Rhinolophus ferrumequinum: one gene and its partners. The protein of the gene in region 2 binds, or shares a complex with, the protein of the main gene of each other region. Links are inferred from orthologs where the notes say so. Each region holds a gene or a part of one and is shown on either strand. Other genes may lie near its edges.

The links.
Region 1: the proteins of GNAS (region 2) and HTR6 are in contact, whole or in part, in a cryo-EM structure (PDB 7YS6), measured with the Homo sapiens proteins. The link is inferred for Rhinolophus ferrumequinum from reciprocal best matches to the Homo sapiens genes GNAS and HTR6. Residues at the interface, in NP_000507.1 of Homo sapiens: Arg38, Ala39, His41, Asp215, Lys216, Val217, Phe219, Leu346, Thr350, Tyr358, Cys359, Phe376, Arg380, Asp381, Ile383, Gln384, Arg385, His387, Leu388, Arg389, Gln390, Tyr391, Glu392, Leu393, Leu394; in NP_000862.1 of Homo sapiens: Arg124, Leu127, Ile128, Pro131, Leu132, Arg133, Lys135, Leu136, Ile211, Gln218, Gln221, Val222, Leu225, Thr226, Lys265, Ala266, Thr269, Leu270, Phe323, Met324, Arg325, Asp326, Lys328.
Region 3: the proteins of GNAS (region 2) and GPR21 are in contact, whole or in part, in a cryo-EM structure (PDB 8HMV), measured with the Homo sapiens proteins. The link is inferred for Rhinolophus ferrumequinum from reciprocal best matches to the Homo sapiens genes GNAS and GPR21. Residues at the interface, in NP_000507.1 of Homo sapiens: Gln35, Arg38, His41, Val217, Pro321, Asp323, Arg342, Asp343, Leu346, Arg347, Thr350, Tyr358, Cys359, Pro361, Phe376, Cys379, Arg380, Asp381, Ile383, Gln384, Arg385, His387, Leu388, Gln390, Tyr391, Glu392, Leu393, Leu394; in NP_005285.1 of Homo sapiens: His61, His62, Thr64, Arg127, Ala130, Ile131, Thr132, Pro134, Leu135, Thr136, Tyr137, Asn138, Thr142, Pro143, Ile214, Ile217, Cys218, His221, Thr222, Asp224, Ile225, Arg228, Gln229, Arg231, Phe232, Arg249, Tyr250, Val253, Leu254, Asn308.
Region 4: the proteins of GNAS (region 2) and GPR3 are in contact, whole or in part, in a cryo-EM structure (PDB 9LYB), measured with the Homo sapiens proteins. The link is inferred for Rhinolophus ferrumequinum from reciprocal best matches to the Homo sapiens genes GNAS and GPR3. Residues at the interface, in NP_000507.1 of Homo sapiens: Gln35, Arg38, Ala39, His41, Val217, Phe219, Asp323, Asp343, Leu346, Thr350, Tyr358, Cys359, Phe376, Cys379, Arg380, Asp381, Ile383, Gln384, Arg385, Met386, His387, Leu388, Gln390, Tyr391, Glu392, Leu393, Leu394; in NP_005272.1 of Homo sapiens: Met75, Arg134, Ser137, Leu138, Tyr139, Ala141, Leu142, Tyr144, Tyr145, Glu147, Ile216, Ile219, Val220, Arg222, His223, Gln226, Ile227, Leu229, Gln230, Arg231, His232, Lys244, Gly245, Thr248, Arg300.

Annotation. Positions count from the first base shown.
Region 1 is NC_046292.1:13,238,959-13,246,110, reverse strand, and holds the start of HTR6 (5-hydroxytryptamine receptor 6), read right to left. Parts: upstream 3,005-7,152; 5' UTR 2,932-3,004; coding exon 2,218-2,931; intron 1-2,217. UniProt on the Homo sapiens protein: G-protein coupled receptor for 5-hydroxytryptamine (serotonin), a biogenic hormone that functions as a neurotransmitter, a hormone and a mitogen. Also has a high affinity for tricyclic psychotropic drugs.
Region 2 is NC_046306.1:3,450,978-3,458,729, forward strand, and holds the start of GNAS (guanine nucleotide-binding protein G(s) subunit alpha isoforms XLas), read right to left. Parts: upstream 3,018-7,752; coding exon 1,139-3,017; intron 920-1,138; coding exon 800-919; intron 1-799. UniProt on the Homo sapiens protein: Guanine nucleotide-binding proteins (G proteins) function as transducers in numerous signaling pathways controlled by G protein-coupled receptors (GPCRs).
Region 3 is NC_046295.1:73,154,920-73,161,965, reverse strand, and holds the start of GPR21 (probable G-protein coupled receptor 21), read right to left. Parts: upstream 3,014-7,046; 5' UTR 2,753-3,013; intron 2,317-2,752; 5' UTR 1,953-2,316; coding exon 903-1,952; 3' UTR 1-902. UniProt on the Homo sapiens protein: Orphan receptor.
Region 4 is NC_046292.1:18,762,271-18,769,274, reverse strand, and holds the start of GPR3 (G-protein coupled receptor 3), read right to left. Parts: upstream 3,004-7,004; 5' UTR 2,894-3,003; intron 1,820-2,893; 5' UTR 1,815-1,819; coding exon 822-1,814; 3' UTR 1-821. Other genes in the region: CD164L2 (CD164 sialomucin-like 2 protein), read left to right, coding at 3,391-3,403, 3,982-4,125. UniProt on the Homo sapiens protein: Constitutively active G-protein coupled receptor that maintains high 3'-5'-cyclic adenosine monophosphate (cAMP) levels that a plays a role in serveral processes including meiotic arrest in oocytes or neuronal development via activation of numerous intracellular signaling pathways.

The DNA of each region.
Region 1 (7,152 bases), on a different chromosome or scaffold from region 2:
ATGGTGGTAGTACTTGTCTCGTTGGGTGTTTGGGGATTAGCTCAGCTAGGTGCCTGGCACGTGGTGAGACCTCAGAGACTATCAGGCTGGAGCAGTGAGCAGCTGGAGGACTCTTGCCCAGGTTCTGAGACTACAGGTTCAGGTTCAATCCTGGTACCAGCTAATTAGCTTCATGGAAAGAACATCTGTGTGTCACCGGCCCCGCTGGAATGGAGAATCCAGACTTCTTCTGCCCCAACCTCACCGAGGCCAGCCTGTTTCTCCCATCCTTACTCACTACGCAGCGCTCCCTACAGTGTGGGATGGGAGATGACTCTAGGTGGTAAGTGGACACCCCGTAAAATAACTGGGTCCCAGTGACAGTTCTCATCCAGCTATTCTGGTTACATCATGAGGAAGTCTCACAGAGATGCAATTTCATCTTTAACATCTGTCCTAACACTTAACAGAGAGGAAGCAGGCCTCGGCTCGGTCACTTCAGCGATCCAAGCTGGACTTCAATAACACTGCTGGGTTCTGCACCCTCACCGAAGCTGTGTCTGATCACCTTCTATTTATGGCAAAGATATTGATTTTCCATTTCCGGAGGAGAGAAGTTTTCTTTCTAAATAAATCCCTGGCAGTGGAAAGATAAATGAGATGATTTAAAGAAAATGCTGAGTACTTATGAATGAAGTGGCTTGAGGAGTGGGGGCGGGGCGCTGGGTGGAGGGAATAGTAAGCCAGATATCCCAAGGTGGTTCCTTTTGCCTGAAGTTTGGGAAATGCTCCTTTACAAGAATCCAAGGAGAGAGTGGGGATAGCCCATGGCAACCATCCTACAGCTAAAGAACCAAATCAGTCATAGCCACCTGCCGAGATTCAAGAATGTTCTCCAGTGAACACAGAAGATGGGCGAGAGCAGGCCTGCAGCCAGGACGTCCAGCCCCCCAGGGCCCCGCCCTCATTGATCGGCCAGCCGCAGCACTAGGATGGAATAAACAAGACTGCGGACAAGCCTTTCAGCCCTCGGCCAGTTCCCATCCCAGGGACCCACGAGACCCAGGGACCCACAAGACACCCTTCCGTCCTGCAGGAGCCTCCTCCACCTGAGGCTAACCAAGGTAAACCTCGAGAGCCCAGCTGGAACTGGGCTTGTGTCCTAGTTCTCTGGGACTCAGGCCTGGTCTGTCTCAACCCCCATCCCTCAGGTAGATAATAGGACTTGGGACTGTGCGGCCTGGGTGACAAGAGCAAGTGCTCCCCTTCTAGACACTGCAGGGCCTTGAGCGAAGGACACCTACCCCCTTCACAAGGACACCGGCCCTCGTGGAGTTTACATTAAAGTGGGGGAGACAGACCATGAACAAGTCAACAAATAAACTGGGGATCCAGCTAGGGAATGACAGAGTGGGGGAGGGCGGGGGGTCTGCAGACACAGTGGTCAGGGATGGCCTCTAGGGAGAGGTGATCTGTGAGCTGAAAAGGTCAGACAAGGGCAGCTCTGGGGGGGAAACATTCCAGGCAGAGGGAACAGCAAGTGCAAAGACATTGACAGGGAAGTCAGTCTGGTGCTTGCTAGGAACCGTCAGAAGGACCACATGGCTGGTGCCGAGAGGCAGGGGCGAGAGGTGCAGTGGAAGAGGCTGGCAGGGTGGGGTCCTGACCCGGGTCTCCTCTTTATCTTGACAGCAATGGGGAGCCACTGAAGGGTTTGAAGCAAGGGAGTGACGTGGTCACTTTTTTCATTATTGCTATGGCTCTTGTGCAGAAAATGGATGGGGGTAGGTCTGGAGTGGAAGCAGCGGGAGCCAGCGGGACCTCAATGGTGGTTTGGATTAGGAAGGTGGCAACTGTTTAGGAGGCAGCAGCAACAGGTCTCACTAATGAATCCCATGAGCACGAGGGAGAAAAATTATCCCTAAGTTTCCGGTGTGCGATGGTATGATGGTGCCATTTGCCATCCTGGGGAAGACAGGGGAGGAACATGTGGGAGACTTGGGATACCCTGAATTCCCTGTTGCATGTTACCTTCCAGAAGCCTCCCTCACATCCTGGGGGGGCTGTCTGTAGACAGTCGGGCAGAGTCTGGAGTTCAGAAGAAAGGTGGGAGCAGAGAATGGCCACTTGGAGGTGGCCAGCAAGTGTGTATGAAGTGGTGGATGCCCCATAAGCACCAAATGGCGGCTCATTCCTCTCCATCCCACAAGCCCTGGTCTCCCTGCGCACCCCAGGTACCTGCGGCGGCTCCAAGGCCTGGCCGGCCATGCCAGTGGTGAGAGAGGCCACCTGCAAGGCCTGCTTGCGGGCGGCCAGCAGGATCCTGCAGTAGGTGAAGCAGATAGCGCCTGAGGGCAGGAAGAAGGTGAGGCCTGATGCCACTAGGACGAAGGGCAGGCTGGCCAGCAGGCGGCACTGACCCGGGGCGGGTGCTCGCGCGCGGCCCAGCTTGTGCCAGCCCAGCAGCAGGGGCAGGAAGGAGGCGAGCGCTGCAAGGCTCCAGGCGCTCAGGACGAGCGCCAGGGCGCGTGGGGGCGTCATGCGCAACTTGTAGCGCAGCGGCGAGAGGATGAGCAGATAGCGGTCCAGGCTGATGAGGCAGAGGTTGAGGATGGAAGCGCTGCAGCACATCACGTCGAAGGCGGCCCAGAGCAGGCAGAGGTCACGCGCCAGCACCCAGCGCCCGTACAGCGCGTTCAGCATGGCCGGCGGCATCACCACCAGCCCCACCATCAGGTCCGACGTGAAGAGCGACACCAGGAAGAAGTTGGACATGTTGCGCAGCGCCCGCTGCGTGCAGATAAGCGCTATGAGCAGCGAGTTGGCCACCGCCGTCAGTGCGATAACCACACATAGCGCAGCTGCTACCCAGCCGCTGCCCGCCGGGTCCGACGCCAGCCCCGACCCCCAGTCGGGGGTGCTATTGTGGGCAGGGCCAGGCTCTGGAACCATGGGGACGGGGGATGGACTGCAGGGCGGGGAGGCCCGAGACGGGTCCTGAGGACCGGCGAGAAGCCACAGTGAGGGACCTGGAAGAGTGGAGGCTGGCGGGGCGTTGTCAGTGAGAACAGAACCCCCCCGCCCCGCCCCGCAAGGGGGGCAGGTGGGAAGAGAGGAACAGGGCGATGGGTCAACGGGCAGCGACTGGAAGAGGATGGAGAGAGGTTATCTATGGGCGTTCTCGGGTGTGGGGCAGGTACACCTGGGTCAAATGGGTAGGAAGTTTGGGAGAGGGCACTTGAGGAGGAGCAGGGTGCCTTAGCGGGAGCGAGCAGAAAGTCAGGAGGATGGGGACGCCAGAGGACTCTTGGAGGTTAGATGCGTGGAAGCAGAGCCCCTAGAAGGGGCGGTAAGGTTGGAGCGAGGGCGCCTGCCTGGGGCAAAGACCCAGGGAAGTGGGAACAACCGGCAAATGGGAGGCAAGCTCTCCCGCGGCAGGTAGGCGTGTGGGGGCGCTAGGTCCGGAGCCGTAGTGCTTGGGGTCGCAGGGTGGCGGCCCACGGGCCAGAGCTAAGCCCCCGGCGGGGAAGGCAGATCTCACAGCCAATGCAGAGGCACCCCTGGGATTGGGCGAACAAGATCCCCTGTGGCGTGTGAGGGGACGCCGTGCGGGCCGGTGGGGACTGAAGGAGCAGCGACAGCGCCTCCGCCCCCTCCCCACCCGGCCACCGCGTCGCGGGCCCGCTACCGCCGGCGTTTGGTACCTGGGGCGCTCAGCGCTGCTCCGCCGCCGGCGACTGCGGCAGGTGCCGCGGGGCTGAGAGAGGAAGAGGCGGCCGCGGGGGAGGGGAGGCAGGCGCCCAGGGAGCACGGGAGGCTCCGCTAGGGGCCGGAGCGCGCGAGGAGGAGCCGGCAGACGCTGCCAGGAGTGCGCGGTCCCCGCGCGGAGGAGCTTGCGCCCCGCCCGGTGGTGGGCGGGGAGAGCCGAGCCCCCGCCTCGCAGGTAGGCGGGGTCCCAGGACCCCAGGCCTGTGGAGGGACGATTCGGTCAGAGTGCCCCAGCAGCACCAGGTAACGTCCCGCCTGTGGTCACCTCCACGGCCCCACATACGCATCCCCAACCCACAAGTGGCAGCGGCAGCGCAGGAGGAACTTAGAGGAGGGGGCTGTGACCTATCTTTATCCAGAACTGCCCCCCCAATGTGGGGCTGCCCACCCACCACGGGGTTCACCACATTAACAGGGGGAGCCAATTGGGAGAAATTGGGCAGATAGCTTGACAGCCATATGTGTACACACACATACATACACATATGTACATATAATATATAATATATGTATACATATCATCTATAATAAACTGTATGATACTTTCTTCAAACCTTTAAACAGCAGGTTACTTCCTCAGGGTCTTCTGAGCAAAACCATCTCCCGACAGCACCAGGCCCTAAGGATGAAATTTCTGACCTGTTGGTACTCCCAGTTTAACAGAGCATGAACCGATTTGAGAAACCCCAGGCCTGGTGGGGTAGAAGCACTGCAGGTAAAGGGGTGGGGTGAGGCATCCCTGGCTGTGAGCTGGCTGTGTATCCCTTCCCCTGGCTAAGAAGAGTCTCTACTGAACACTTCACAGATTAATATTGTAAATTCCATCCATTCATTCAACAAACATTTATTGAGCACCTACTAAGTGTCAGGCACTGTTTTGACCAATTGGGACACTATAGGAACCTAAACAGAGATTCCAGCTTCATGGAATTTACATTCTAGTAGAAGGAGGCAGACAATAAACACCAAGCATAATAGATGCTTAGTAAATGAACTATATATGACATCCTGAGCTAAGGATGAGGGTAGGGTCCTGAGGCTTCAGGATGGAGAAGGGTCATTGCAGATGAATAAGAACAAGTGCTCAGTAATTAGATGTTTGCCCTGCCATATAGATAGGTCAAAAAAGGTTATTTCTGGTAATAACTCTTATTATGGGCAAGGCTCCAAATTTAAACTCTTTACAAGTTTCTCTTGAGCCCACAGAGTTTCAATTGCCTTTAGCTCGAAAGAATCTGGGTGCCACAGAGGCACATCTTGGGGCAACTTGTTCTGAACCCCTACAGCTCCCACATAGAAGGGTCCTGCTATGTGTCCCAGGGGCTTTATTATATTATTCTAACCTCTACAATAATGCTGAGAGATAGGTGTTAAACTGGGGCTCAGCGAGGCCAAGGGTCTCACCCAAGGTCACCAGCAGCAAGTGATCAAGTGGAACTGAAACTTGGGTCTACCCAACACCCAAGGCAGAGAAATCTCAAGACCCTACAGCACCCCTCACCCACCCGAGCCAATATTTGACTCTCAGAGCCCCAGTCTTGCCCACAAATGGGTCTGTGCAGCAGAAAGTGGAACCTATTGTCCCTTCTAATACCACCTGCACCACCATGACAATTTCTGTTGTGCCCCAAGGAACCGCGTGTAGTATACCAAGCTCGGGCTGAAAATCCTAAAGACCACACTTGGGATCCCCTTTCTGCTGCTTACCAGCTCAGTGGACTTAGGACCAGCCCCTCGATCTCCCTGGGTCACCATTTTCTCATATGCAATAGTTAGCAGAACAATACAGCACTGCAGGGACTCTGCTCCCGCTCCGAGCACCAGAACACAGGATATGGTGAGGCCAGAAAGGAACACCCACGGAGCCATAGATAGGGGAGTCATACCACTATATTCTCGCTGGCGGCTGGTGGAGACACAGGAAGCAGGAGCCACACGATGCACAATCTGCCGGCCGCTTCTCTGCCAACCAACCCACCAACGTAGCCACGGCAATTATATCAATGGCTAATGGCTAACCGGTAACAGCTGATGGCCAACTAGTCACAGCTGATGGCCATCTACTACCCAAGCCAGCATCTTTCCACGTGAGGCCGAGAGCCTGGAAACTGCTCTCTGGGACTCTGTCCCCACAAGCACCCATCTCACAGGGTTGTTGAGGGGATGAAATGACCTTGGTGTAATCTGTAAACTTCACAGTGCTGTGTTATTACTAGCTGTTGGCCTCAGTGTTCCCATCTGTACAATGGGAATGCATTCAGCTCTGTGGAAATTCCTGTAACGCAGGGATTCCTGGTTGAACAACAGCAAACCCGAGAGGTGCCGTGTACTTTGGAGCCCAGTGACCTGAGTTCATAACCCAGATTCTGCTCCTCGCTCTATGCACTTGGCAAAGCCTCTTAAGTTCTCTACTACTATAAAAAACTAGAGTAATGAAGATGTGACTAGAATGAGTATTTAAACCATTTCACACAGAGGAGCTGCCTGATAAATTTTAGTTTTGAACCATTTGTGACAACATGGATGGATCTTGAGATTATAATACTAAGCAAAATAAGTCAGACAGAAAAAGCAGAGAACCATATGATTTCACTGATATGTGGTATATAAATCAAAAACAACAAAAGAACAAGACAAACAAATGAGAAACAAAAACTCATAGACACAGACAATAGTTTAGTGGTTACCAGAGGGTAATGGGGCTGGGGGGTGGGAGATGAGGGTAAGGGGGATCAAATATATGGTGATGGAAGGAGAACTGAATCTGGGTGGTGAACACACAATATAGTTTATAGATGATGTCATACAGAAATGTACACCTGAAATCTATGTAATTTTACTAACAATTGTCACCCCAATAAACTTTAATTAAAAAAAAGTTTAGTTTTGAAAAATTGGTGGTATATAGTGGGATAGAATATTAGTCCCTCTGCTTTAACTTTTGCTGTCAAGTTTGATAGCCTTTATTTTTTTTAAGACCTAAAGAAGACAAGACAAAAATGTTAATGTTTGTTCATTCTGGGTGATAGACTCACTGATGTTTGTTACATTATGATCTATATTTTACTATATAATTAAAAAATAATTTTTCCCCAAAATCATTGGCCTGGGGAGTGGTGCCACCTTGTGGCCACACTATTATCTTGAGTTTAAGAACTTTTCTGAAGTCCCGTGTGGACCTAAATTTATCTTTTCTGTCATGGATTGATAATGTCCTAGACTTCCTTAACATTTCAAGGTAGAGAGGGACCATCAAGGATGGTTGGCCTTTGCTTGCTTACTTCTAGCTACAGGCTGTTCTCTCCCTAGAGGAGAAGGGTGGTGACACAATGGGACAGCTGAGTCTTAGGAAGTCCTCTGCCCCAGGCCTCCATTTCTGTCAGTACATAGAGGACCAAGGAGAGC
Region 2 (7,752 bases):
GTAAAAGTGTAAATGATTGGCTTACCTCGGGCTCTTCCCTAGGAAAAAAATTATTTCATGTTTTAAAAACATAGCCACGCCCACCCCCTCGGAACAAGCCTGGCGTGGTTTTTGGATCCAGACTTGCTTTACTGCAGGTTATGCGTTTTTTCCCCCTCATCCCTCCATCCCCCCCACCAGGTGAGCCGAATGTGTGCAGAATACCGAACTCGTGTGTGCAGCCCGGGACGCCCCAGATACCTGAGTGTCTGGTTTTTCAACCGTAAAGGCGGGAGAGTTTGGCGAACGAATGAGAAGTGAGGAAACGCTTAGCGCAACGGGAAAAAAGAGAGAAAGACATACAGAAAAAAAGGTTATGGAGGCCAGCGGGAAGCGGCCCCCTCTCCCCCCAGCCAGTTGCCCAACATATTACCCCGATGTCCCACCACCTTTTCTCCGCATTTTTCGCGCCGCCCGCTGCAGAGCGCCAGCTCACAGGAACCACCAGAGTATGCGAACACGGAAAGTTTTTGCCCGCGCCATGGCGCACAACACAAGACAGCCCATTCCCCAGTACAAGTACACAGTCGGCGGGTAATTTGGGGGTGCCAGGGATGGGAACTGGGAGACACTTGAGCATATCATGCACAGGCGGACACAATATGGACACCAACACACACCAACAAGCTGTCTGAGTCCAAGCAGCCGTGCCAGGCGAGGCGAGGCGGGGCGCACCTTCCCCACGACCCCAGCCCACCACGGCCCCAACAAGCCTAGCCTGGGGAGCCCCGAGGCCCCTCCCCGGTAGTTCCTGGCTCACCTGAAGCCCCCGCCTTCCTTGCCGGCCCCCACCCCAGGACTCGGGGTCGTCTTACGGTCGCTGGCGCTGGCTTGTCCAGCTGGAAACGACCCTCAGTGTTGTACGGCACCACTTTTCTCCCTGGAGGGCACATACTTCGGCCACCCAAGCCCACCCGAGCCCACCCCCCTCCCGGGGCAGAGTTAGGGCCCCTCACTGGAACTTTCTAGCAGGCTATTCCCGCCTTTGCCCAGACCCCCTCCTCCCGCCGCCAGGCCCGAGCCCCACCGGGCAGCCCTGCCACCCCCTCCCGGGTTCCCCGGCGGCCCTGCTGCCCGCGGGCAGAGTCCGCCGCATTACCTAGAAGCAGCAGGCGGTGCGTACACATGTAACCCATCTTTTCGTCCTGTAGTTGCTTGTCGATGAGCTTGCTGCGTTTCTTCTCTGCGCGCTTCTGAGCACGCTGCTCCAGGGCTTCCTTGCGGATCTGTCTGCGCTTCTCCGCCAGAGGAATCTTCTTGACCTTGGGGCTGCGTGGGGCTTTGGGCTCGGCGCTCTCAGATCGGCCGAAGCAGCCCCCGAAGGCTTGCATGAGGAAGTTGCGGAGCAAGTTGCGCCGGGGCTTTCGGCGGCGGCGATTTCTCCGGGGCTGCACGCAGCGATGGCATCCGAAGGTCCCATCGTCGGATTCATCGCTGCTGCGGTCGTCGCTGCTGACCGACCCCTCGTCGTCGTCGCGGCCGCGGCTGCGCTCAGACCTGCCCCGCCAGGCATACGCGCGAGGAGGCTGCGGAGTAGGCGGATCGGCAGCCTGGATCTCGGGGCTGGGGGGTCTAAGGAAACGGAGCTTGGGGCGGGCTCCGGAGGCAGGGGCCGCAGGGGCTGCCCGGGCAGCAGGAGCGGCTGGGGCGGCAGGGGCTGCCCCGGTGGCTGGCGCGTCAGAGGCGGCTGGAGCGGCTGGGGCTGTCCCGGCGGTTGGAGCGGCTGGGGCTGTCCCGGCGTCTGGCGCGTCAGGGGCGGCTGGAGCGGCCCCGGTGGCAGCAGAGGCAGGGGCGGCTGGAGCGTCCCCAGTGGCAGGAGCTCCGTCGCCCGGAGAGGGGACTTGGCCTCCGTCCGCAGCAGCAGCGGTTGAGCTTCCTTCCATCTCGGCTGCTTCTCCCTCAACTGGGGGTCTCTCTCCCTCTGCTCGCTCTCTCTTAACTGGGGCTCGGGAGACCTCGATGGGCGGGCCATCAAGCGCGATTGGGGGGCTGTCCATGTTGACGGGAGCGTCGTCGACCCCAACGGGGGCGCTACCAATCTCGAGCGGGGGTCCGGGGATCTCCATCGGGGGGCTGTCGCCAGCGAAGTGCGGAGGAGGTCTGACAGCTTCTCGGGATGGGCTGCCGATGGCGATGGCGCCTGGGACCCAGAGGGGGGGCTCGCTCGTGGCGGGAGCGAGGAGGACCGCACTCGGCACCGCAACTCCCGTGAACTGGCTGCTGCTACCGCCGTCGATTTGTAGGATAGCTCGGGGGAGCCCAGGGGGTGGGCTGTCGTCCCCAAAGGCTGCTCCATCAAACTCAAATGGCATAGCCTCCTCAGGGGGAGGGCTGCAGCCTCCTCTGAAGCCTGCATTCGCAGGCCTGAGGGCTTGGGGCTCCTCAGAAGGGGTGCTGTGGACCCCCACACCTGGGCCTCCTGGAGCGAGGTCTGAGACCTGCAGGAGAGGTTGGCAGCAATCTCCCTGGGCAGGTTGCTCAAACTCAAAGGGCATGGCTTCTTCGGGTGGAGGGCTGTAGCTTCCCAGGCCTGGCCTGGCCTCACAGAAGGCTCTGGGCTCCACGAGCGCTGAGTTGAAAGCCTCGAGGCCTGCATGGGCCCCACTGGTGTCTCCAGGCTGCTCCAGGGTAGGCCAGAAGCTTCCCAAGCTGGGCTGCTTGACCTCGAAGGGCATGGCTTCCTCAGGAGGTGGGCTGTAGCCTCCATGGGCTCCGGCTTCCTCGATGGCCTGGCCGAGGCCTTGGAGGTTGGGCCTGGAGACCTCTGGGGGTCCACATGCCTCGCCTTCAATCTCGATGGGGACGGGCTCGCTGTTAGGCGGTTGGGTCTCCATCTCTTCGGCTGCGCTAGGCCCAGCACTGGGGGCAGCTGCCCCTGGGGCCTCCAAAGATGGTTGCTCGGACTGCTCCCCGAGTTCAAGGGGGATATCGCGTTGTCCTGACATATTATTGCCGTCGAGGCAGTTGCACACGCCCATAACACGGTGGCGAACTCTTAAAATAAACTTGGGGCCCCGTAAGACGGAGCACCCAACCGAACTAGGGTGAAAAAAATATCTTAAAAAAAAATCAAAGTACCAGCCAGAAAGTTCTCCAACCTCACTTTCCAACCCTCCTGAGGTCTAGGGGTTCAGGGCCTCAAACCTTAGACTGTGGCAGAAGCAACTCTATTGTTGCTGGTGGAGTGTTGGCTTCTTCTTGGCCACTTTTTATCCCCTCAGGCAGCCCCTGGCCCCCCCTTGGCCTGCCCTTGTCCCCTCCTCTCTCTCTTTCTCTCTCTGTGTTCCAGGCCAGCCCCGCCTGCTTGGATCTGAGGAGCGTGTCGATTCGGTCCGAAAATCGCTCGTAGTGCTCTCTTTCTGCCACCAGGGGACGCCGGCTGGTGGCCAGGCGGCTCTGGGAGCCGGTTCCTGGCGCCGGGAGCCCCGGACTTTGGGTAAGGGGGCTGTTGAGCTCAGGCCCCGCTGGGACGTTTTGGCTCTTTCCACTGCTCTCCCTGACTGATTTGGAGTCTTTCTCCTCTCTTCTCCCCTGGCCAGAGAGAGAGCCTTCTCCTGCGTTGCGGGACACGTGACGCAAGACGTGGGCCCCGGGCTGCTTGAGCGCAGGAGCTGAAACCCTCCCTCCCAGACCCAACTGACTCTCCTTGGGGGAGGGGGAATTGCATGATGTTTTCCTCACCCCAAGTTACCCCTGAACACCTGAGCCGCAGCCCCCAGCCTTGGGCAGCCTTCGATCCTGAGCCCCAAATCCAGAGCGCAAAGCTTTGGGCGCATGGGAAAGGGGTGTCAGCATGCACGAGGATGCGACAGGTGGTCGTGAGCCCACTTTCAGAGAGGACAGGAGGCGAGGGGCGAGGTGATGCCGTGTGCGCACACAATTGGTGTTCTAAATGCCTTAGTGTACTTTCCATCGCTTCTGCAGCTTTTGTTTTCCGGCTTGCCGAGGTTGGCTCCTGTAAAGCACTTCAATGTCCCCCGTACCCACCATGCTCTGGGGGGAGGAGGGGGGGTCTTCGCAGGAGCTTTGAATGGCGCAGGCTGGATTCTCCCGATTTACGTGGACGATGATTCAGGGAAATAGAGGGTCTCGGGCGCATACCACGGAGACCCTCTAATTGGTAGCCACCGCGGCACATAACGGGGGGGGGGGGGCGCGGGATGCGCATGGGGACCCCACAGAGTGCAGGCCTCAGAGTTCCGGGGCTCCTACTGCTCTGGGGCAGGGTTAAAGGAGATTTCAGTTGGGGTTAATGGCTGATTTAGAGTGGTCTCAGAGACTGGTCAACCATTTGCGCACTGAACCCAAAGACACATCGTGCCCTGCTGTGCCGTGCTGTGCCAGCAACCGCGGCCGCGGTGCGCTGTTTCCTGCCTCGGGCGCCGGCTGCAGGGTCGATCAGTTTGTTCCTTCCGTTAGCTCCTCTCTAGCCCCCTCCCAGCCCCTCTTCTCTCGCTATGAGTCTCCCGAGGCAGCCGCTTTACTTTCCAACTGCTGTAGCCCGCCGAGGTGGCACTAAGCTCTGCTAAAAACCCAGCGGCCGCCCTGCTGCGCTCCCGTCTCCGTAGCGCGTGGTGGGCTCAGAGCTAGTGGGGGTAAATACCCACACTACCTGGGTGGGCTTGACGCGTGCGCGCGCACTGCTCTGGCTCTGGGGTCTGCAGTAGGATTTGAGCCCAGGAAAATTTTGCTGCTTGCGGATCACGTAAAACCCGGGACATGGGTATCAGGTCTGTCTCGCCAGCAGGTGACACAGACCTGAGAGCCACCTTTAGGCGCGAGGCAGCTGGGCAGGGGCAGGTGGACACCTGGCTTACGGGCGGGCAGCCCGGCGGATGAGTGTACCAGTGGATGGGCTGCGGCAAGCGAGGCACACCGCCTGGATCGCTGTATCTACGAGCCGCAGGCGGGTGAACCACGCATGATCCAATCTCATTAAGTGTAACACGTCTCTTTCAGAACGAGACCACATCCACAGCGCAGCACTGCCCCCGCGTCTGCCAACCGTGTTGCCGCGCTGCACAGAGAAAAACTGACAAAGTTGGACCCTGGGTAACGTTTGAGGTCCCTCAAAGGTGTATCACCTCAGCTCTTTGGACCTACACACTTCCAAATGCCAACACTGAACTTTAGTTCAAACTTTGGCCAACTATACCCACGCGTAACGGCTCAACCATTTGGGCATCCACTGAATGGGCCAACTGGGTCTCCTCAGTCAATTCACTCCCCTCCGACCCCAGCACTGGGTCAGCCATTGGGTTGGGGTCACGCCAATCAATGCTGCCTGGCGAATGAGCAGGGGGCGTCGGACCGGAAACCGGATATGAGTGGGAGGTCCAATAGGGGGCGCCGCGTTAGAACGTCCTAAGAGATTGTGCTGCTGGGGTAGTTGGAAGCGGTCGGTGGGCCGGCGTATGGCGGCCAAGCGTGGGACGCCACGAGGCCGGCTGGCGCCGGGCGGTCACTCTTCCTGACTCCAAAACTCACAAATGCTGGAAAGATAATTGAGGGTTCTTAGGGGCCAACCCAGGGTCTCACTGATGGCGGTGGGCAAACACACCCAATACCCGGGACCGCCGCCGGGGCAAGGAGGCTTTCCAGGGCCTGGAGATAGAGGGCCAGGACCCTGAAGAAAGAGGGGGCTTACTGCTCCGAGGCAGACGAGCAGCCCCAGATGGATAAGGAGTTGAGGCCCCAGGGATGCTGAGCTCTGCCGAAGTGGAAGGTCAGTAGACGTTGGGGTTGGAGCCCCAGGGAGGCCGTGATGGGGGCCCCAAAGGGACGGTTTGCTCTCGCCAGGCCTCGCGCTTGGCCCACTTCACTGGGGCTCTTTCCCAAAGCACTGTTGTTCAATGAACGGGTACCGGGTCTCTGACATCCCCGTAGGCCTGTGGGACCCCTTTGTCCAACACACACTTTCTGGTATCTTGGTTCTTTGCCAGGAGAGCACATGCATTGAGGGGAGTTAAGACTGGGCAGATAGATACCAACCCTCCATTCTAAAGGGTAAGCAACATAGAATGAAAGACCTCCAGTTGGGGGGATCTTGAAAGTCTTGATGGAGAAAGTGGCATTTCAAATGTGCCTCCATGGAGGGACAGAAGGTTTGGCTATGAATAGAACGTGGCGGGGATAGGAGATGTTGGCTGACCATGAACGAAGATGCTAGGAAACAGAGCTGGGTAAAGAGAATAGGACACTGTGTCAGGTCTTGGAGGACCAGTGGGAGAGAAGTCATGAAAAATTGGATAGGATCTCTCCAAGAATACTATGGCATATCAGAACAACAAGTTTTGAGGCTATTTATGTTGGAAATGGAGGTGTTGATGGTTTTTCAACACCTGCAGGTGAGAATTTGAGGCTAGTTTTAGGAGAGGTTAAGGCAGTATGGAGGATGGTCCTGATGAGAAAAAAAGGGGCTGTGGCTGGTCATAACCTTTAAGGGAGGGAGAACCACACATAGTAAAGGAAGCAGGAAGGCCGAAGAGAGGGGCTCGAGGGATCCTAAAGGACCCTCTAGCAACTTCTGTGCTAAAATGGCACAAAAAGTGGAGGAGACAGAATTTGGCACCTGGGTGATGGGACACGTGTGGGAGGATCTGGGGAGGAGTTGGCATGGTGGCGGAGCCATTTGGTTTTAGACATGGCAGAGGTGAAGGAAGGATGGGCAGTCTGGATGGAGAGCTTTACAGCCTGTTACTTAGGATGGGTCTGAAGTTCAGAAGAAAGATGACAACCCCAAGATCAAAGTGACGGTCATCCTCATTAAGATGAAATCGTTGGATGAGAAACACCCTCAAGGGGAGAAACAGATTTGGTGACAGAATCTTGAACACTTGGGGGTACTAGAGAGGACATCACAGAAGAGAGCAGTGGGGCTAGGAAGAGACCCATAGGCTCAGACCAGAGGGAAGAATTTAAGAATCGGTCAGCAGATCTCGTCTTAAAGGAGCTTCCTTAGCCTCTGCACTGCTGACCTTGGGGACAGGTGATGCTTTAGTGTGACTGCCTGTGCACTGTAGGATGCTTAGCAGCATCCCTAGCTTCTACCCACTAGATGCCAGTAGCATCCCCTTAGTTGTAGCAACCAAAAATGTCGCTAGACTTTGCCATATGTCCTCTGGGGGGCAAAATCGCCCCCCAGTTGAAACCACTGCTATAGTCTGAGGAAGGACCCTGTAGACTTGAGTAGGAATCACCTTAATTTAAAGGTAAATTAGGACCAGAAGAAAAAATTCCAGTACTTAACTCTGATGGTCCTTTTGTCTGCTTCTGTTTATTTTTTCTGCAGTGACTGGCCCCCCAGAATCTGAGAACCCCAAATCTCTTGGGTGAGTGAAACTCCACCGCAGATCAGCAGTGCGACTTTAGAGACCCCCTGAGCATGGCCAGATGTTTGAGGAGCTGATTAACCAGAAAGGCAGCTGGGTGGCCTGGCCACGGGACTCAAGGAATCTGGCATGGTAAGAGCTGGGGTTGATCAGCTGGTGGGCTGCTGGGGCCACTCTGATTGGGGGGCCTGCCTGGGGAGCCCGCTCAGGGCTGGTGATCTTGTTGGCCTAAGACAGATGGACTTGGCTGGGGATGAGTGGCTGTGGGCAGCCTAGGCCGGGTCTAACCCCGCTAGGGACATAGTTTCTAGGATCTGCCGTTGTAGTTTTATAGTAGCCAAGTACGTTAAGCACCGATTTCCAATTCTGGGTGGTTTTCTAT
Region 3 (7,046 bases), on a different chromosome or scaffold from region 2:
TCCATTTAACCACAAGAGAAGACCTCAATCTCTATTTTAAAAATGAACTAGTTAAGTGTACATTTTGCTGTAAAAGAGAAATCTGTCTCAATTAAAATATTCTCAACACACACATACACAAAGGCACGGGTAAAAATACTGTAACAGAATCATTTTCTATGCACACATTTCTTTAAATCTCCATGAAGCATAGCACAAAAAGAAGCTTGGTTTCTCATAAATTGTCTAATATTTGACTGTACTTTTGTATCATGGTTCATTGCAAAATTCTAAAATTAACGTTTTAAGTGTCCACATTATTCACTGTATTGAGACTTCTCTCAAGAGAATAAGACATAAAACATTTGGTTTCCTAAATGACAGTGCTGAAACTTGCAGTGTAGTTACACTTTGGCATACATAAATAAAATTTAAAAACCCTGTTAATTAATTCATCACTGTATTTTAATCGTCCCTGTTAAATCAATTGCATTTGAAGCCCACACAACTGGAAAGAACCCAGAAAAGCAACAAGAAAACGATGACTTTTTAAAATGCTGACGCTTTTCACACTCAGGTTCAGTCATGCCAGCTGGAGAGAGGTGTTGGATATGGCTTTATTCATTTTAAATCTGAGAACTGTAGTCATTTCCATGACATTACAAAAATTGGAACCAAGAGCAATTTATCTTCATGGTCCTGATTCTTCTCATTCAAAAGCTCTTCTTAGAAAATCATTTCTGCAAACTTAGAAGGCTTTTTGGATGGGTCATTTGTTTGCTATTGCTTAGAGTCAATTATTTTATTCCAGATTTTCTAGTGAACAGGAAGACAGATAAAAAGGATGGACACACACACACACACACACACACACACACACACACACACACACACACACACACTGACCCAGTATCTGAACCACTTCAGACATGGCATCCATTAGGGGGGCCTTTGCTCCTAACTGTGTATGGGTCCTTAGTTATAGTCTGACTTGCACAAGAAATACACATGGCCCCCGAGAGACGTTTCAGTCCCCTTTGGAAGACACTGTTGGAGAGACTATAAATGACACAGTTGCAGAAACTGTTACTAATAGCAAGCCAGGTGGTGAAGAAGGATGCGAAGCGGTTGCTGTGGCCAGTGGAGCTCTCCAACAAGAAGTAGATGATGTATGGCAACCAGAGGATATAAAACACACTAGTGATCCGGAATAGGACCATGGCGTAGCGCTTATCGGGACAGGCCTGCACCTCCCCAGTCTCCCCACTCTGGCTGCTGAACCGGGCTTGCCTTTCGCTGATTTCCTTTGTGTGCTGCTGACAGATGCGGAAGATGTTGAAGTAGGTGAAGCAGACAATGAGGGCTGCGGGGGCATATGACATCATGACGATGAACAGGGTGAAGTGGGGGTCGGTGTGCCAGGCCTCCGCACACCACCGAAACACATCTCCATGATATCCAGGTTTGCCCCAGTGGAAAAAGGAAGGCAGGAAGACCAAGGCGGAATACAGCCAAATCAGGAAAATACACAGGCGTAGTCTCCAGGGTGTGACCAGGGTGTTATAGGTTAAAGGTTTGGTGATGGCAATGTATCTATCGATGCTGATACAGGCCAGAGAGGTCATAGAGACACTCTTCAGAACCGATACTACAAAACCAAACACCTGGCAAGTCAAGGACTCCTCCACCGGGAGAGGGTAGTGGAGGAGCGATAAGGAAGGGACCAGGCAGCTGACTCCAACCAAAAGGTCAGCATATGCCATAGTCTGGATAAAATAACTTGTAGTGTGGTGGTTTAACAAAGGTGCACAGTGAAACACAAAAATCACGATGATGTTGCCAGAAATAATCAATACAGTCAGAAAGACAATAATCAACACTTCCAAAAGGCAAAAATTGACAGTTTCTGAATAGCCAAATGCCAAGAGGCAAAAAGGGCGGCTGCTCTGATTACCATCCAAGGTGGAGTTCATCTTGAGCTCAGGAGTGATCTCTCACTTCATGCTGCCGCTTGGCTGCTGCCAACAGTTCAAAGGAGCAGCGGCTGTCATTGCGGTCAGCTCTGTTTGTAATAACGCCCAGGCTCGCGATGCTGCTGCTCTGGTGCGTTGCCTGCAGCGCAATCCCCCTTTACTTCCTTGGAAGAGGCAGAGCCAGCAGCAGTTGTATAGCCAGTCCCAGACACGGCCATAGTGTCAAGTTTACCAGACACATAGTGCCAGGGAAGCAAGTCAAATTCTGGGCACAAGGTCTTCAGGCCAGTGAGGGTAGGGGCAGGGGCAGAGGAGAAGGGAGGAGGATTAGGAACTGCTGCAGTAATGAGTCTCCTCTGAACAGCTGATAGAAGAAAAGGAGAGAGCGTTTTATATTCTGCATCCCAATGCAAGAATCAAAGACTCTGGCTAGCTCAGGCTGCTATCACTCCTGCCACTCCATCCCAGCCCACTCAGTACAACTATTCATGGCTCCCCTCAGTAGCACCCCACATAACTGGTCCTTACTCTACAGAGGTGGCACAGCACCAGCAAGCTTTCATGATCAACATAAAACAAAATCAATCACAGTCAGATCAATCGACCCCTCTTTTCCTTTCACTGGAGCCTTTGGGGTAGAAAAGGAATCTGCTTATAGCGTTTCTGAAAACATTTTACCATAGTTACTACTAATAAAATTAGCTAAAATAACTTATTTTCATCGATTCCCATGTAATATTTTGCCTCTTTGAAAACATTTCAACAGCATTTGTCTGTCTAGCTAAATTTCAGAGTGTTACCTGTAATTCTGCATGCTGCAATCCAAACAAAAGCGACAGAACATCCTTAACAGAAAGCCTTGCAAAGCAGGAATGTGCCTCAGCCCCGTTTACTGCAGAACTGAGACACAGAGGGAGGGGATAAAGGAGTAGGAGGGGAAACAGGGAGACGAGGGGGCTTGGGAAAAGGAAGACGCAGGGGGAGGGGAAAGAAAAAGCCTGTCCGCGCACACACTCGGGCACCCTTAGTAGCTCATTAGAATTCATCACAGAGAGGCACTCCCCGACTTCCAGACTGCACAGTGGGGGAATAACTTAATACGCCTGCAGTGCAGTGTTTGAAAGCTGTTTCCTCGTCTGTCTGGAATCCCCTTTTTAAGAATTCAGACTGCTAGTAAGGAGAAGGGGTAGTAACTGGGACAGAGTGCCAGCTAGGAATTAGATTGAAACACACTGCCAGAGGGGTAATGGTGAAAGGAAATTCCTATTTTCTTGTTGCATTTTCCCAAGGAACAAAGAACAATGTTAACAATGCATGGCAAGTGAGGGATCGGAATTCAGCCGCACAAGAAGTTCTAGCTAGAAAGGCTAAATATTCAGCATTAATTTTCTCTCATGATCCACTGGATATTGGCCAATATTAAGAAAGATGACCAAAATACCAAAGCAAACTTAAAAATCAGTTTTTCAAGAGAAATATAAAGAAAATTTCACCTATTTTGAATACTGCAGAAATAGTACACATAGAGAAAAGAGGAATTACATTGCTTCGGTATTTAATACTATCCTATATTTTTGAGATGCCACTTCTGGTTTCTAGTTTGCTGAGAAGCAAACATATAAACAAAAAATGGAAAAGTGAAGGTGCCCATTTCCACCGGGCTTGAATGTATCTCAGAATACACAATCTTGTTTGTGCCTACTTAATAACAATGCAAACTGGAATAATACTGTCTGCTCTTCTGGTAATGCCATAAATGATGACAATTTTCAGCTAATTAGAAAATGTGTATTTTCAGTTATCTTTTCCTCTAGGTGTCACTGGACTCTCAATTCATCCTTCTAAATAAAGTTCCCCCGACCCAGCAGAGTAAAAGAAAATAAACAAATGCTGGTATTTGTAAGTATTGCAGAATGTCTACAAACCTGGGTGGAGATATATGTTATGTGATCCAACTTTTGTTTTTTATTTGTTTCATACACATGCTTTCTCATTGCAGGCAAATGGCCACCCATAATCAGAATTCCCATTAACTGCATTTTAAGATCTGAAGCACTATGTTCATCACACAAAGGCAAGAAACTCAAAAACCTATTGAGTATAAGTTTGATAGCCATATTTGACAGGTATTACTAGAAAACACAGCAAAGTGTGGCACAGTAAAAAGACCCATGGCATTGAACTCCCACGTGATTCAAATCTTTGCTCTAAAATTACTTAGCCTCTCTCAGCCCTAGTTTCACCATCTGAGAAATGAGGGTCATAACTGCCTATTTCATGAGGTTATTAAGAAATAGAGGAGACAGTCTGTACAAAAGGCTTAGCAATACTTAGCACATAGGGAGGATACAACTTTACTCACTTTCTTCTCATACAATTAAAACAACTTGTTTTCCTACCAATCATGTTGCATTGCTTGAGGCAGGGCTCCTCTGAATCCTAAAGTGCCCTCTCTTATTTGTGACTGCCCAGTTCTAAGGCATACAACAATTATTTAGATATTTTACTGTCATGCATTCCTCAAATACACGAAGGCTAGTGAAGGTAGGGATGATATGGCATCAATTATTCCCTCTACACAAATAATTAGTCAGCCTGTGTCTCCAGCCCTGACTTCACCCATGAACTCCCCTTTCCATCTACAATTTGCTTGCCGGTCACACATTTTCCACCTGGATGTCCTGTAGAGACTTCAACCGCAGCACCCAAAATTAAACACATTTTCTCCACCAAATAAGCCTCTCCTGTTTTTCCCAACATTTCCCCAGGCACTCAGGAAAGAAACTTAGGAATCATCTTGACCACTCTCTCCCTAGATGTACTGTTCTTAGTCACCAAGTCCTGGGAAACTATTTCTACAGCAGCTCTCAAATTCACTTCCTCTTTCAGTTTTGAATACCTTATTTTAGGCCATCATTCAATATCGGCTTGGCTTATTCACTTTCTAATCCGTTTCTGCCTGACTGAGTACCAGTAGCACGTACTTTATTAAGCATGGTACTCCAGTGTAGAAGAAGTCTATGGCTCCCTATTGCCTTTCCAATCTGGTACCACTATTCTATAGCCCCCCACACACCTTGTCCTCCAGCCAAACCACGTTACTCACTATTCTATACATTTGCATAGACTTTATTTTTGAATTTGCATTTTTTGAGTGCTTAGTAAATATTGAACTGAAAAAAAAAAAGAAATTATTTCTGAGAGTGATTATTTCAGTAAGAGGAAAAAGCATTCGCCAAAGTTAGGAGTCCAGGCTTTTCCAACTCCTTGTGAATTGGGGCGTGTAACTCATCTGTACACCTCAGGTTTCTCATAAGAAAACAAAACAGTTATGCTAATTAAACCACATTACATTGGCTGATAACTTGAAATAATTAAAATGCAATAAAAATGCAGTAAAACTGCAAGTTGTTACATTTACTATTATTAGTTCAACAATAGTTCTTCCGACTTTGTTTCTATTTCAATAAAACCACTCTTGGAGCTTTGATCAAAATATTCATATAGGAAACTTTAAAAAAAATAGCCTGATAGCCACACTTTATCAAGCCAGTCAAGAGTTAAATGTTTTATATTAAATTAAAGAAAAACATTTTTCTTGGGGCGACCAGATGGCTCAGTTGGTTAGAAGGCGAGCTCTCAACAAGTATGCCGGTTCAATTCCCGCATGGGATGGTAGGCTGTGCCCCCTGCAACTAAAGATTGAAAATGGTGACTGGACTCAACTAGATTGAAGAACAATGACTTGGAGTTGATGGGCCCTGGAGAAACACACTGTTCCCCAATATTCCCTAATAGAAAAAAAAAATAAAAACATTTTCTTCAGAAGAGACAAATTATTCATGACATGGGGGGACAATAAATTTATGTCCCCACCAAAATCTATACATCCATTTCCTTTATAAAATAATGAAGTCTCATGACACACACACACACACACACACACACACACACACACACACACTTATTTTTTTTTAAGTAAAGACAGAGTAACTATTTCTGCATATATGTGTATATACGACTGGAAGGAAATACATTAAACTTCAACTACTTTTCACTGGATAGTGGGATTACAAGTGATTTTTTTATTTTGTTCTTTATGACTTTCTATATTTTATGAATTTGCCAAATTCTATGTACTATTTCTATGCATTATTTGATCAAGTTTTCAAAAACCAGCCAAAATAATATAAAATATGTCCCTTTGGGTTAAGCTAACAAAATAAAAAACTGGCCACAAGATGTTCTCTCATCATGCACTGAATGGATGCTGGCAGGTTAAGTCACCTACGTAACGGGGCTCAGTTCCACTTGTCCCTATGCCATCACAGCAACATTCCTTCATATAGTCACTGGTACTCAACTTAACTCAAAATGACCCCTCAGAGCCTCAGTTAAAAATTCTTAGAGAACGGAAGGCAGTCTTTGTGACAGGGAGTCCCCAAATTCTTAGAGAATAAAAATGCAACTGGATGAAACGTGAAATTGCCAATATTTAACCATTGCTTTTCTGGTTAAATACTTTCTAATTTATAAAAATGGCAACTTTTACACATATGGTTCAACCCAATACTAAAAAATTAAAATAACACAATGACAGAACTAAAAAGGTATTAAATAAGGCAGAAAGAGAAAGGAAACATGAAATAAAAAAGGGAAAAGACATCAAATTATGTTTATCTGTCTCCCTATTCGGTGGCTTAACTATATTATACATGAGAAAGGGTCAATTTCAGTTCTTCAGATCCATAAGATTCACTTCTGAGCATTCTCTGTCACTTATTATTTAGTAAAAGTGAGCTTTTAATGTTGATTTAATTAGCATTATTTTAGTGCAGGTGATGGGAATGTATTTTTAGCAATATCATTCCAAAACCAATTTGAGGTTCTTTGACTCATCTTTTATTCTTCCCTCTCCCTCACCTACCATATTCATTCAACTACCAAGTAACAAGGGTTCTACCTCTGAAATTTCTCTCAAATAGTATCTCTTTCTTTATCCCTTTTGCCACTATTTCAATCCAAGTCACCATCACCTCTTGCCTGAATTTCTAACAGGTTTCACTGTGATTAATCTTACTCCATTATAACTCC
Region 4 (7,004 bases), on a different chromosome or scaffold from region 2:
AGTGGAGTTGGGGTTGCCACGTCTTGGTCCTGGCTGCCTGGCCAGGCTGCAGTTTCCCCCAAACCGCCACCAGAGGGCAGCCAGCCCCCAGCGCAGAGGAATTCTCGGTTGCTCAGGTGATGGCTTCTTAAAAAAATAAAAAACCAGAGGCTGGTGTGTTCCCCCACTGAAACCCTAGAGGGGCAGGCCTAGGGAGAAGGCTCTGGTTTCTATGATCTCTTCAATAAAAAATAAGCAAAAATAATAACAAAATACATGATTTCTCTTTCTCCCTTTCCCCCCTCTAGGAACTGAGGTCAGAAATGTGGGTGTGGGGACTGGGGATACCCTGGTATGGCCTGGATTTCAAGGTGGGGGTCTCTTTTTTTCCCCTCATACCCATAAATAAATAAATAGATAAATCATAACTAGATACTCTCTTTGTAAGTGCACATATATACATATATAGATATAGATAAATCTTTTTCTCTTTCCCCTGTCTAGGGAACTGAGTGGCTAACCTCTCTGACTCTAGCTCAGAAACTCAAAAGTCAGGTGACATGGTCAAGTTCAAGGGAGGGGGAAGACCAGGGACTTGGAATGGCACTGTAAAACAGCCAGCAGTGTTCTGGAACTCCAAACCAGCTGGGCTGTGGGACATTTCTGAGTGGAACCCTGACCACTTGAACATTCTAGAACCATAGAGCCAGCTGGGCCCTGCAGGGATCTGAAGAGAATCCTGTGAAACACCCAGAACCAGCTGGGTCTTTGGGGTGTGGAGCTGGGGGCTTAGAACAAAACCCTGGAGGACCTAACATCCTGGTCACCAGGGTGTGAAGTGACTAGACGTCACTGGGGGAACGGGATCGGAAGGGGATCTTGGAAGAGGAACAGGAACAGCAGATGGCCCACAGCACCTTCTGCACGTCCTGGTTGCGGAAGGCGTAGATGATGGGGTTGATCATGGAGTTGTAGGTGGCGGGGAGCAGAGTGAGATAGGTGTAGAGGGGTGAGGAATAGGCATCGCCCAGCAGGCAGTAGACGGTGAAGGGCAGCCAGCAGGCAGCAAAGGCGCCAAGCACCACAGCCAGTGTGGCAATGCCCTTGCGGGTGGCCACGTAGTGGGAGGCAGGCAGCAGGTGCCGCTGGAGGGCAATCTGCTGGGCATGGCGGCAGACGATGCGGCAGATCTGGGCATAGAGCTGCAGCATGATGCCAAACACCATGAAGAAGGCAATGGCCAGGATCACCAGATGGTTCTTGGAGAGTGGATATACCACGCCGCACGTGGCCTGGGAGTCCAGGCAGTTCCAAGCCAGCACAGGCAGCAGCCCCAGGCCCAGCGCAGCCCCCCACACGAGGGCCAGCATCACATAGGTCCGCGTCACCGTTGTCTCTGAGTAGTAGGTGAGGGCATTGTACAGAGAAAGGTACCGATCTACAGTGATGGCCAGTAGGCTGCCAATGCTGGCAGTAAAGGCCATCGCCAGGACGCCAACCAGCACCAGGCTCATCTCTGCGGAGCCAATGCAGAAGACAGCAGCAAAGTGCAGGACGAGGCCCAGGCCTGCCAGCAGGTCTGCAACAGCCAGGCTGCCCACCAGCAGGAACATGGGGGCACGGAAGGCAGGAGTGCCCACAATGATGGCCACCACCAGTGCGTTCTCGCAGGACACCAGGGTGCCTGAGATGCACAGCACCACATCCCAGGCTCTGGGTGAAGGAAGAGGTGCAGCTGGTCCTGTGGGTCCCTCTGCTGAACCCACGCTGCTCATATTCACGTTCCCTGGGCCAGCAGAGAGCCAAGCCAGGGGGCTGCCTGCACCCCACATCATGGTATCTGTAGGAGAAAGACCCTATGAGAAGCTGGCAGGGCTGGGTGCTGGGCAGAGGGATCTGTAGGGGCTGAGGTCCCTCTCTGGATACTTGGTGGGAGTCTCTCCTCAAGATACTTGGCTGGGTCCTGATGCCTTATCCTGCACGCATGCTCCAGGGCTCCTTCCAGGATACCTTTGTCCTCTCTCATGCCCAAAGAAAAGCTCAGGTCTCTTTTCCTGGGGATTCCTGTCCTCGGTGGGACTCTTCATCTCCCTTCCAACTCTCTGGGTCCTGTAGGCCTCTTTCTCTCACGTGTGTGACAAGAGGAGAACAAGATGAAGGACTAACATAAGTGGATGGAGGCCTGTAAGATCCAGGAGATGCTGGGAAAGGCCAGGACTGAGGAAGGGAAACACATCTTAGAACTGAGAGCAGCTCTGCTCCATACCCATCCGGGAGGAGGATGCTCAGTTTCTGAGGCTCGCCAGACCCCGCACGATTGTCAGCAATGCCAGCCTCAGGCTCCGCCCCCAGGGAGTGCGCGTGAAGCTCCCGCCCGCCCCCACCCTGCACTCCTGGGGTAACAACACCTGGGAACTCAGCACCCCCAACACACACCCGCCCAGACTTCTGTCCCCGGCCAGATCCTCTTTCTGTCTGAACCTCTGGGTCTTTGGAATAGACACCTCCTGCTAGAAGCCTGGAACCCTAAGTCAGACCCCTCCTTCGGCCCGGATACCTGAATCTTGGGCCTGACTCCGCCTCCTGCCGGGATGTCTGTATCCCTAAGTCAGACACCTCCTCCAGCTCGGACGCCTGGGTCCGTTCCAGCCGTCTCCTGCCAGCCCAACCTCGGATGACCGTCAGCCCCTCCAGAGCCCTGGGTCTCTGAAGGACTGCTCCACCTCCGCTGGGTCACCCCACTGATGCGGTCAGCACCCAGACCTGGGTCCCCGCCTGCTAGCCCAGAATCTGGGTTCCAGCTATTGACCTCCGACCCTGGCCCGCCGCTGGGAGCCTGACCGCTGGCCCTGCGCCCCAGCATTCTACGTGCCCTTCCGGACGCCTAGTGCCCGAGGCGGGGACCGCTACTCACCTCTTGGGACCGGGCGCGGCCGGGCCGCGCGGGAAGGTTCCACTCGGGTCCGGGCAGCTCAGGGTGTGAGCGGACCCGGAGAAGCCCCCGCGGCCGCGGGAGAAGCGGCGTGAGTCACCCCGCCCCGCCCCCGGCCACCGGTTCGGTGACGTCAGAGGCTCGGTTAACCAATGGGCACGTCGCGCTGGGACGCAGCGCGCGTCGAGAGGCTTAGTAATAAGGCCTCGCACCGCCCGCTCCCCCATTCATAAAAAGCGACCGTAGCCGCGGCTCCGCCCCTCCCGACTCGGCCCGCCCTGTCCTTGACGCGGCGCCCTCTGCGGGCCAGGGGTTTCGGGGGCGCAGGTGGGAGAGCCTTGGAAAAGTCTCAGAGAGGATGCAGAAGGTGTAGCGAGGTAGCAGGAAGGGGACCCGGATAGGCAGTGGGGTGATGGGACCCTTGGAGGCAGAGACAGGCTGACGAAATTCAGGAGACTGAGACCATGTGATGGGGTTGAATGGGCGTCCCCGGTGAGGATGACTGAGGTTGTCAAGAAGATGGGGCCCTGAGGTGACGGTGACAGGAGTACGAGGGAGCATGGAGGTGGGTGGCAGTGACGGTATGAGCATGGTGACTGGATCTTGGGGGATGGTGGCTGAAGGACGCTGTCATACAGAGGGAAGCCCCTAGAGCAACTATAGCAGTGTCAGGGTGACTCTGTGGCATGATGGGGTTCAGAGATCACAGGGTGGCAGAGAGGATGGCAAGGGAAGATGGAGTGTGCAGGTGATGGGACTTTGTGTCACCATGACCGTGTCACAAGAGCTGACGTACGTACTGAGGTGACAAGTTACTTAAGTGATGAGGGCTGTAGGGTCCTGGAAGGAAGTTACCAGGTGACTGTGGTGAGTGGGCACCGGATGAGTGAGACAGAGCAGTTTGGACTGACAGTGATCAGGCAGGTAAGTTGCTGCCAGAACAGGTCCTCGTGATGCTGGGGCTGGGATAAGAAGCTGGGTGACATCACTCATGTCAGCCCAATAGCACCCTCACAGCATGGGAGGGGTTGGGCCTGGCAAAATGTCAAAACATGAATTATTTATTCAAGGATCTGGAAAGCCAGCAGGGTGGAGGGGGTACTTCCCCGAAGCAGCTGGAGATCGGAAGCTGGGAAGAACTTGGAAGCAGAAAGCCTGGCAGCTCAGTTCCAGGGCAGGCCCCTCTCAACTTCCCATCTCGGGCATCCTGGCAGGTAGGGCATGGAGAAAGAGCTCCATCTTCCCCCAGCTCTGTCCTTAGTCCCAGAGAATCCCCCTGCATCTCCAGATGTGACAGACATGGCCAGTCCTGGGGAAGGGGAGCTGGCTGCTCCTCCTCCCTCTGTCTCTAGCTTTGATCCTTGTTGGAATCATCCAGGCCCAAGGAATGGGGGTGGGGGCCAGGGATCAGGTTAGGACTTGAGGAAACCGGGGGGGGGGGGCTCAGATCCTAGGCCCCACTCACTTCTCCCCCAACACAGCACCACTGCAGTTCCCACAGTTAGTGTGGGGCCGGGGGAAAGAGGTGACAGGCGGGTGGCAGAGTACTTGGGAAGAAAAGAGGGCCAACGTAGAGAAGATGATCTCTACACATCAGGTTGGAGTTTGGGGTGCTTAGCCGATGGAGGTGGTCAGGAGCGTAGACTGGATTCGATCCCCAATTCCTCCATTTCCTAGCTGTGTGACTTTGGGTGAGTATATTAGGTTCTTTGTGCCTATTTTCTCACCAATAAGATAGGGGTAACGTTAGTATCTACCTTATAGGATTGTCGGGAGGGGCCTGGCACTGGCGGGAGGCTACCAACAGTATATCTGACAGGAGAAGGACAGCCAGGAGGCATAGGTATGCAGGCAGTAACTGGGGTTCTAGGGTAAGTGACATCACCCAGGGGAGGGAACAGGAGCCTCAGGGAGTGAGGAGGAGCCTCTGGGAACACCCCCATTAAGGGGACAGACTGTGGATGAGAGTGCTCCTATTCCCGGGCCTTTGCACTGGCTGTTGCCTCTGCTTTGAGCCCTGTCGTTAAGGTCTTTGCACCCAAGTCACTTGTTCTGAAGCAGGCTTCCCTGACCTCTATCCTAGATTAGCACTCTCTTTCAGCACATAGTATGTAGTAGGTGTTCAACAAGTATTTGTTGACTGGATAAAAAAATTAAACTAACAAGCAGCATCTAGAGAAAGAGAAGGAAAACAAGTAGTAGTATGTTAGGTGTCAAGGAAGGTGGGGTCATCAAAGAGAGAGAATACAGGGGTGTTCAGGTCTCCACTTTCTCCCCCATCAGAGCTGGGTCCCAACAACTGTCCAGTGGGTCTTAGAGATAAATGAAGGCTGCTGGGAGGTGGGCATGAAAGAGGTGTATAAGAAACTATCTTCTGCTAGTCTGAGTGGCAGTGATAGTTCTTTTTTTAAATTTTTCATGTTATTAATCCTCTCATGAAAAATCGGCACAATTACCACAGATGAAGTCATTGCAGAATCTTCATTTCTTTTTGCACCAACATTGGCCTTTGCCATCATCCTGACCTTCATTCTGTTCTCACATTCTTTTTGAGATCTTTTTCATCTCTTGGAGGCCGAGCTTGTGTTTGGGTTCATTTTAATTTGCATGATCCAAGGAATCATAATTTATGTCAAAGTCAGTCGTTTTACCAGCACCAAAATGGGTTCTAATTCCAAATATGAAGATGATATCTGGTGTGGTTTTGTACATTTTGGTTATTTTTCACCAAATTTCTGTCTTACGTACTGTTGCCTTTCCAGAGAGAAGGACATTGATGACCATGTTTCCATGGAAATAGTTGGTTGGCCAGAACTCCTGATCCAGATAGTTCCTGGGTGATTCGTGATGGAGGTCAATCTTCAGGCAACCAGGGAGGAAGAGTACAGTGACATTCCAACCCTGAGAAACCTTTAGATCCAATAGATTCAAGAGAGCTATAGATTTTCATGTGCACACTCTCTCTCGTGCTCAAAAACTGCCCATGCCAACAGGACACTGGAAGTTGTCACTGCCAACCAGGTCTCTCTTCCCCACAGATCTGCTGTCTAGAGAAAGGGGCAGCCCTTTCTCTTCTTCTCTCCTCCTCATGCCCTCTGCCCTACCTTCTTGTTTGTTCGCACCATTGACACCTTCTCCTATCCTTCCCTCCTACCTGGTGCCAAACCTCAGGGCTTACAACAACCCATTCATCCCCATTTCATAGGTGAAGCCCAGAGAAGCCGAATGAATTGCCCCAAATCACACAGTACATGACAGAGCTGGGATCTGAAGCCAGGTCTATCTGTAACCAAGTCCAGTGTGCCTTCTATTCTAGCCTAGATGTCACCATCTCCCCAGAAGGGGCTGGGAGTGACATTTGACTAAGGCTGACAATACCTGCAGTTCCCCAGGTGTCCACCAGATGGCTGTGAGCATTCACTTCCAGGTATGACTTCTTTCCTTCTCTCTTCTCTCTCTCTCTCTTCTAGGGAATCCCATGGGCCTAGGCTCTCAAGGGAGGTTTGTGTGTGAGGGACACAGATAAGACCCACACAAGCTCCTTGTCCAAGCCCCGAGAATCTGGGCATCGTCATTGCACACTTTCTTAGCAAAGCCCCATTCATTCATTCAGCCAATATTCACTGACAGTTTCCCTGGGCTTGGGTTGAAGTGGGTGCTATGGACAGAGAGATGATCTGGCCACATCCTTGCATTGTCAACATTCAATAAATACTTATTGAACATCTACCATTTGACAGGCATTGTTCTAGGCGCAGAAGATACAGCAATGAACAAAAATCCCTGCCTTCTTCATGGAGCTTCCATTCTGATGGGGGAGAGAACAATCGACAAATAGATACTTAATATGATAGAGTAGGGAGCTCTTGAGGATCTCACAGACCAGTGGGATGGACAAACATGTACACAGTCACAACATGGTACAGTATGATTATTTAATACACACCTACTTAGCCCTTATGTGTACAGGGAGTTAAGTATGGAAGAAGATAAACATGGTTTCTGCCTTCATGGAACTTACAGCCTAGGACATGAATGAGTAATCTGATACATGTTTGAAGGAAAAAGGAGGTTTCATGATGTAGAATGACCA